Linked DNA regions of Macaca mulatta. The protein of the gene in region 2 purifies or fractionates together with the protein of the main gene of each other region. This does not show direct contact. Links are inferred from orthologs where the notes say so. Each region holds a gene or a part of one and is shown on either strand. Other genes may lie near its edges.

Region 1 (4,250 bases), on a different chromosome or scaffold from region 2:
TAGTGAGACCCCATCTCTATGGGGCTGGAGGATCACTTGACGTCAGGAATTCCAGACCAGCATGGCCAACATGGCGAAATCCCATCTCAACTGAAATTACAAAAATTAGCCAGGTGTAGTGACGGACACCTGTAATCCCAGCTACTCAGAAGTCTGAGGCAGAATTGCTTGAACCCAGGAGGCAGAGGTTGCAGTGAGCATCACTGCACTCCAGCCTGGGGACAAGCCCAAAACTCCCTCTCAAAAAAAAAAATATATATATATATATACACACACACACACACATACACACATATATATATAAAATTCACCTAGTTTTTTTTTTTTTTTTTTTGGAGACAGAGTTTCACTCTTGTTGCCCAGGCTGGAGTGCAATGGCGCAATCTCTGGTCACTGCAACCTCCACCTCCCGGGTTCAAGCATCCCAAGTAGCTATGATTACAGGCATGCGCCACCATGCCTGGCTAATTTTGTATTTTTAGTCGAGACGGGGTTTCTCCATGTTGGTCAGGCTGGTCTGGAACTCCCGACCTCAGGTGATCCGCCCGCCTCAGCCTTCCAAAGTGCTGGGATTACAAGCGTGAACCACCACGCCCGGCAATTTTATTTAAATTTTAAGGTAAAAATCCCATTCTTTCTCCAAACAGTTGATTGTTCCAACATAAATTTTGGAACCCCTTCCCTACTGATATGAAATACCACCTTTGTAACACTAAATAATCTTATATATTTCTAGATTATTCTGTTTCACCACTCTTGTGTTCCAGGGTTGCTACTTACATTTTGATTATCAAAGCTTTATTTGTATATTCTCTAGTACAAGTCCTTTTCCCATTCTTCTCTTCCAAAAAGTTTCTTACTTTCTAGGTTTACTTTTTCAAATGAATTTTAAAACCATTTTGTCAAGTTTTCAAAAGGAAATCTGGTTGGAATCATGTAAAACTGCCAGCCATATCTCTCTGTTGCTATTTTCCTCAGTGGTAAAATGGAAATAACAGTACTTACCTCGCAGGTTTGTTATGAGAACTAAATAAATTAAATACAGTACAAAGTATTTAAAACACCAAGCCAGAAAGATGTTAACTATAATTACTCAAAAGTGACAGCTATTATGATTGCTCAATAAATGTTTTCCAGATGTGTTCGCACAATCTTCAAAGGCTCTTTTTAAGATAAATCAAAAGGTATCATAAAACATAAGCAGTGGTGTGGAAAACAATTTATACTTTTCTTCACCAACGCCTTGACCCTTCTTTGGTGAAATAAAGAGCTGGAACTGGGAGCAGAGACCAAGAAAAATGCCACAGGCTACCAGGTCTCTAAAATTTTACAAAGCTAGCCCATCAAGTGGAAACGAAGACTTCTAGGCCCTTCTAGTCAGCGTTATGGGTGATCAGCATTTCCCTTTAAATACTACTATTTCCCCATCTCCACAGTTATGACAATAGTAGTTACCTTTTGATTTCCTCCCAGAAAATACATAGGGATTAGATGTCTAAAAGACAGTATTTTTCAAATGAGGTCGTGGGCCCCTATAAAGTATAAATGGGAATGATAAAGATGGAGAGACATGCCCAGAATATTATAACAAATTACCTCTACCAGGTTTCCCACATCACTGTAAAGATTGAGAGGGGAGAGGCTGTGGGTTTTTTTTTTTTGGGGGGGGGGCGGTTGTCTCATTATAATTGTTAAGAATTTGTTAAATTTTTTTTTTTCTGCATTGAAATTGAAGTGAGGAAGTCAGAGGCCGTATGAGGGGCCTTAAGAGGTGATCTCCTCTACTGAGCTGAATGAGAAATGGAAGACGAGAGTGGAAAGATGAAACCAGCCAAAGGCCTGGACCCCAGGCCTCCGAATTCCCAGATCTCGGCTCATCCCAGTACACCACACAGCTTCTCACCGACGCTTGCCACGCTTCGAGGTGGGAGGAGTAAAAACAGGCAATCCGACCGCAGCAAAGACGCTGGAAAACCACAGGCCGGCGCAGTCGAAGGCACGTGACCCGCCACGCCCCCCCCACCCTCCCCCTGCCCCGCGCCAGCAGCACGCGCTGCCAACCTCGTCATGTGACCTTCACGCGGCCCCAGCGCTCCCCCTGCTTGGCGACTCTTTCCAGCAGCCATTTTGCTGAGAACTTGTCGTCTGTGCTTGCCGCGGAGCAGGACGCCGCGAAAAGCCGCGGCCAGAATTTACGGGCCGCACACGCGCTTCGAAAGAGCGCTCAGGCCGTCAGGGCCCGGTCGAACCTCAATGAACACGTCGCACCCCGGGGCGCCGGGGAAAGCTGTGGGTGCGCCTCGGCCTGAGATTGGCTGTGGCGTCCACGTGACGCCTCAGCCCCCTCCCCGCCACCTTCTCCTTCCCCCCAACTCACAAAAACACCCAGACTGTTAACACCTCGCGCCAAGAACACGCCACCAGGCGCGTGGGGACGGGCGTAGCGCGTGGCAAGCAAAGCGCCTGCGCGTACCTGCCAGGGCCGACAGCAACCGACCCACGCGCCGTTCCGCTCGCGGGTCCCGGAATCCTCGCGCTGCTGGACCACCCGGCTAGTCATTGGCTGCCAGTTCGGGTCACGTGCTGGTCGCCGGCCCGCCCCTACCCGCTAATCACCTGGCACCGAGCTCGAAGCGGCGCCGAGTCGTTCGCACGCGGAGAGGGAGGGTAGTTAGAGGGCCATCCTTTTCTGCCATTATGGAATTAAACTCATAAAGAGGAAACGAGAAACCAGAGGTTCAAAGCTAAGGAAGCTCGCACCTACCGGCTTAACTTCGCGCGCCTCTCCAGGAGCCGGGAACCATCGCCCTTGGGCGCTCCCCGATGCACGCCGGGATACGCCTGGCGCCCCTCGGTGTGCTGCAGAGCATGCCGGGAAAGGCACCTCTCCCGATCTCCTGGCGCTCACCTCCCGGGCGTTCCTTTCGTGTCCCCTTTGAAAGCCCGATCCTTGGGCTTGGAATGAGACGGTTTGGGTAATTATGGGAGTGTGGCGAGGTATACCAGGCACTTTGAGCCCCTCCTCCCCGACTTGTTTGATCTGTGTGGTCTTGGGGAAACCGTTTAACCTTTCTCCACGGAGCAAGCGTTAAGTGTGTGCCTGCTGAGTGACTTTGTAAAGATTCAAAAAAAAAAAAAAAAACAGCAAGGGTATTTGCCTACAAATGAACTGCCAGCCTTTCCTGGCCAATGAAAAAGAATGCTAATTTAAATGCAACTTACCAGGAGCCCCACATGAGAGTGGAAATGGCACTTGGAATTTCCCTTGGGATAGAAGATGAGCCCTTTCTTGCTAAACTCACTGCTACTGTTGGGGAAAGCAGGGTGATAAGAGCATGCGGCGTTTTAAAGGAGGCAGGGACATGCCTGTATCACAGTTACTGGTTCCACCTCATACGAGATACGGTATATTGGAAACGAGAAAAAAAAAAACACCGTCTCCTAACTCAGAAAAAGTGGTCAGGCATCAGAACCAATTAACTTTGTAACATATTCACAAACTGCCCTTCAGGCCAAAACCTAATATTTTACTCCCATGAAACCCCCACTTAAAACAATTCACACCTTTTCTGCTTTGAACTCCATTCTTCAGCTTTGCCGATTTCAGAACGATTTCATCAATTCTTAAAGAGATGATTAAGCTTGAAGAATTTGACTAGCGATGGTCAAGCTCAAGAGTTCTTATTTATAGATTAAAAATTAAATGTATCCATTTATAATGTGGTTATTAAGCCAAAATATAGTTTGTGGCACCCTTTTCTAATTTCAAGGTACTTCATAAGCCTAATTATCAGAAAATTATTCCCTGACTAGAAAATCAAAAGAAAGGGTATTAGATGATCATGTGTAATAAAGAGCATTAAATTGTAAGCATATGATGTTATATTTGAAGTTTATAAAACATTCTAATATTCATTATGTATAATCCTTATAACAACTCAGAGAAAAGTGCCATACTAGTATTACCATTTTCTGAGTCAGTCTTGAGTGGGAATCTGGAAAAACATATTTTAACATGTTCTCCAGGCAATTGTTATGCACAACTGGGTTTGGGACATATTGGCTGTAGTGGAAAGAACCCAAGGTTTGAAGTCAGACAGATCCATGTCAACTTGCAGCTCTTATACTTCCTGCACTCTGATTGTGGTGACAGGTTTTTAAACTTTTTTTTTTTTTGAGACCGAGTCTCAGTCTGTTACCCAGGCTAGAATACAAAGGCATAATCTCAGCTCACTGCAACCTCTGCCTCC
Region 2 (3,600 bases):
TTTTGTGTTTTTAGTAGAGATGGGGTTTCACCATGTTAGCCAGGATGGTCTCAATCTAACCTTGTGATTCGCCCACCTCGGCCTCCCAAAGTGCTGGGATTACAGGCGTGAGCCACTGCGCTCAGCCTTATTTCCTTTCTATTCATATTGTCTTCTTTTCATCCCTTGCCTGTTTTATCTTTCTCTCTTCTATCCTCTTCCAACCCTTCTTTTAGAATCTTAGGATTTAGAACTAGAAGGAACCATTAGAGACCACTTAGACCCGGGATTCTGCACATTAGAATCATCTAGGGGAGCTTTTAACAAACTATAGGTGCCAATCTCCCATCACAGACCATTAGAATTTTAGGTTCAGGCTTTTTTTTTTTTTCTTTTTTTTTTTTTATTTTTGAGACGGAGTTTCGCTCTTGTTGCCCAGGCTGGAGTGCAATGGCGCCATCTCAGCTCACTGCAACCTCCACCTCCTGGGTTGAAGGGATTCTCCTGCCCCATTCACCCGAGTAGCTGGGATTATAGGCGCCCAGCACCACGCCTGGCTAAGTTTTTGTATGTTGAGTAGAGATAGGGTTTCGGCCGGGCGCGGTGGCTCAAGCCTGTAATCCTAGCACTTTGGGAGGCCGAGACGGGCGGATCACGAGGTCAGGAGATCGAGACCATCCTGGCTAACACGGTGAAACCCCGTCTCTACTAAAAATACAAGAAAATTAGCCGGGCGAGGTGGCAGGCGCCTGTAGTCCCAGCTACTCGGGAGGCTGAGGCAGGAGAATGGCGTGAACCCGGGGGGGCGGAGCTTGCAGTGAGCCGAGATCGCGCCACTGCACTCCAGCCTGGGGCACAGAGCAAGACTCCGTCTCAAAAAAAAAATAAAAATAAAAAAAATAAAAATAAAAAATAAAAAATAGAGATAGGGTTTCACCATATTGGCCAGGCTGGTCTATGAACTCCTGACCTCAGGTAATCCACCTGCCTCGGCCTCCCAAAGTGCTGAGATTACAGGTGTGAGCCACTGTGCCTGCTCAGGCATTTTTAAAAGCTCCCCAGGTGGGTCTAATAGTGAAGTCACGGGCCAGGCGCGGTGACTCACTCCTGTAATCCCAGCACTTTGGGAGGCCAAGGCAGGCGGATCACCTGAGGTCAGGAGTTCAAGACCAGCCTGCTCAACATGGCGAAACCCCTACTAAAGATACAAAAAATTAGCCGGGCGTAGTGGCACACGCCTGTAGTCCCAGCTACTCAGGAGGCTGAGGCAGGAGAATCCCTTGAATCCGGGAATCGGAAGTTGCAATGAGCCGAGATGGCGCCACTGCACTCCTGCCTGGGTGACAAGAGCGAACTCTGTCTCAAAAAAAAAAAAAAAAATGAAGTCACAATTAAAACACTGATCTAGCCGGCCGTAGTGGCTCACGCCTGTAATCCCAACACTTTGGGAGGCCGAGGTGGGCGGACCATGAGGTCAGGAGATTGAGACCATCCTGGCTAACATGGTGAAACCCCATCTCTACTAAAAATACAAAAAAATTAGCCGGGCTTGGTGGCGGCACCTGTAGTCGCAGCTACTAGGGAGGCTGAGGCAGGAGAATGGCGTGAACCTGGGAGGCAGAGCTTGCAGTGAGCCGAGATTGGGCCACTGCACTCCAGCCTGGGCGACAGAGTGAGACTCCATCTCAAAAAAAAAAAAAAAAAAAAAACACAGATCTAGTTCAGTCCCTTTACTATATAGATGAGAAAGTAGAGCCATAGAGGTTAAGTGACTCTGGCACTTTTTCTTCCTATAAATTTTTTCTCTCCTTTTTTTTTGAGACAGTGTCTTATTTTGTTGCCCAGGCTAGAGGTACAGTGGTGCAAACATGGCTCACTGAAGCGTCAACCTCCTGGGCTCAAGCAGTCCCCCCCTCCACTTTAACCTCCCAAGAAGTTGGGACGACAGGCGTGTGCCATCACACCAGGCGTTTTTTTTGTTTGTGTTTTTTTGCAACAAGGTCTTGCTGGGTTGCCCAGGATGGTCTCGAATTCCTGCCCTCAAGCAATCCTCCCTCCTTGGCCTCCCAAACTGCTGGGATTACAGACAGGAGCTACCATGCCTGGCCTCTTCTCACTTTCCTCTCACAAACTTTTCAACACTCACCTATTCCCCCAGTTGTCCTCATGGATTTCCATTAGCTCCTCTGTTGACATATGGAGCCAAGGGAGGCCAAGCAGCAGCACTTTGTTCAGGTAGATTCAGGATATACATGCCAGTACCTCCCATTCCTTCTCTTACTCCATTAGCCTTGGTCGGGGCAGGGGCTCACCTGGTTAATGCAGTGCCCCAGGTTTTGAAGGGCCCATCATTTTGTTGGCTTTGAGGTGGCCGTATCGGGTGAGTCATGTGCTAAGTTCTCTTCCCAGCTGTCTGTGAGATGTGTGGTATCGTGGGTACAAGGGAAGCCTTCTTCTCCAAGACCAAGAGGTTCTGCAGCGTCTCCTGCTCCAGGAGCTACTCCTCCAACTCCAAGAAAGCCAGTATCTTGGCTAGATTACAGGTGAGAGGCAGTCACCTGGGTCCTTCCCGGGGCCTTTGGTGCTGAGATAGGAGCCACTAATTGACTGAAGGCAAGGGCCAGGAAAGTTTGAAAAGCCCCTTGCTGGTGGCCAGCTGGTATTTATTATGTTCTCAAACTTCAGTGGACAGAAGAATCCATTTATGGAGCTTTTTAAATTATAGGTTCCTGAAGCTACCGTCCATTCCCTACCCTCATCCCCCAGAGTCTGGTGTGTTCGGTACATTTTATTTTATTTTATTTTATTTTATTTTATTTTATTTTATTTTATTTTTGAGACGGAGTCTTGCTCTGTCGCCCAGGCTGGAGTGCAGTGGCCGGATCTCAGCTCACTGCAAGCTCCGCCTCCCGGGTTTACACCATTCTCCTGCCTCAGCCTCCCGAGTAGCTGGGACTACAGGCGCCCGCCACCTCGCCCAGCTAGTTTTTTGTATTTTTAGTAGAGACAGGGTTTCACCATGTTAGCCAGGATGGTCTCGATCTCCTGACCTTGTGATCCGCCCGTCTCGGCCTCCCAAAGTGCTGGGATTACAGGCTTGAGCCACCGCGCCCGGCCTCTTGGTACATTTTAAACAAGAACTCTGGGGAAGGCTGACGCCCTTGGTCTTCACCCCACACTTTTATACATCCTTTGAAAGGAAGCTGGGAAACAGGCCCAAGGTTCACCAGCCATGGTGGCTTCAGGAAGTCCGTGCCTTGTCTGACTCCATGTCACAGGCAGCTACCTAGAAAGTCTTGCCAATTTTCTAAATTACTGACATTTATAGAATTTTTAGAGATGGAAAGGTTCTTGGATGTGGTGTTGAACCCACACATTTATTAAGTATACTGAAGTCCAAGGAGGTAGAATAACATACCTAGTGTGGCTCTGTACGAAGAGAATGGCAGAATTGAGGCTGGAACCTAAGCTCAGGGGCTTGATCTTACATTGTTTCCCAGTAGCTGTGACCAGCATCCACAACACTGCTTCCCAAATTTGCCTGCAAGCTGGGATCACGTGGAAAGTTTAAAAAATATTGATGCTGGTCGGGTACAGTGGCTCACGCCTATAATCCTAGCA

What was found.
Region 1: the proteins of L3MBTL2 (region 2) and MGA purify together in Homo sapiens (affinity purification with mass spectrometry; 3 studies listed by BioGRID and IntAct, counting the BioPlex papers as one, with this or other methods). This does not show direct contact. The link is inferred for Macaca mulatta from reciprocal best matches to the Homo sapiens genes L3MBTL2 and MGA.

What each region holds. Positions count from the first base shown.
Region 1 is NC_133412.1:18,988,902-18,993,151, reverse strand, and holds the start of MGA (MAX gene-associated protein), read right to left. Parts: upstream 2,840-4,250; 5' UTR 2,765-2,839; exon of another isoform or gene 2,474-2,764; intron 1-2,473. UniProt on the Homo sapiens protein: Functions as a dual-specificity transcription factor, regulating the expression of both MAX-network and T-box family target genes. Functions as a repressor or an activator.
Region 2 is NC_133415.1:10,297,958-10,301,557, reverse strand, and holds part of L3MBTL2 (lethal(3)malignant brain tumor-like protein 2), read left to right. Parts: intron 1-1,824; exon of another isoform or gene 1,825-2,388; coding exon 2,389-2,522; intron 2,523-3,600. UniProt on the Homo sapiens protein: Putative Polycomb group (PcG) protein. PcG proteins maintain the transcriptionally repressive state of genes, probably via a modification of chromatin, rendering it heritably changed in its expressibility.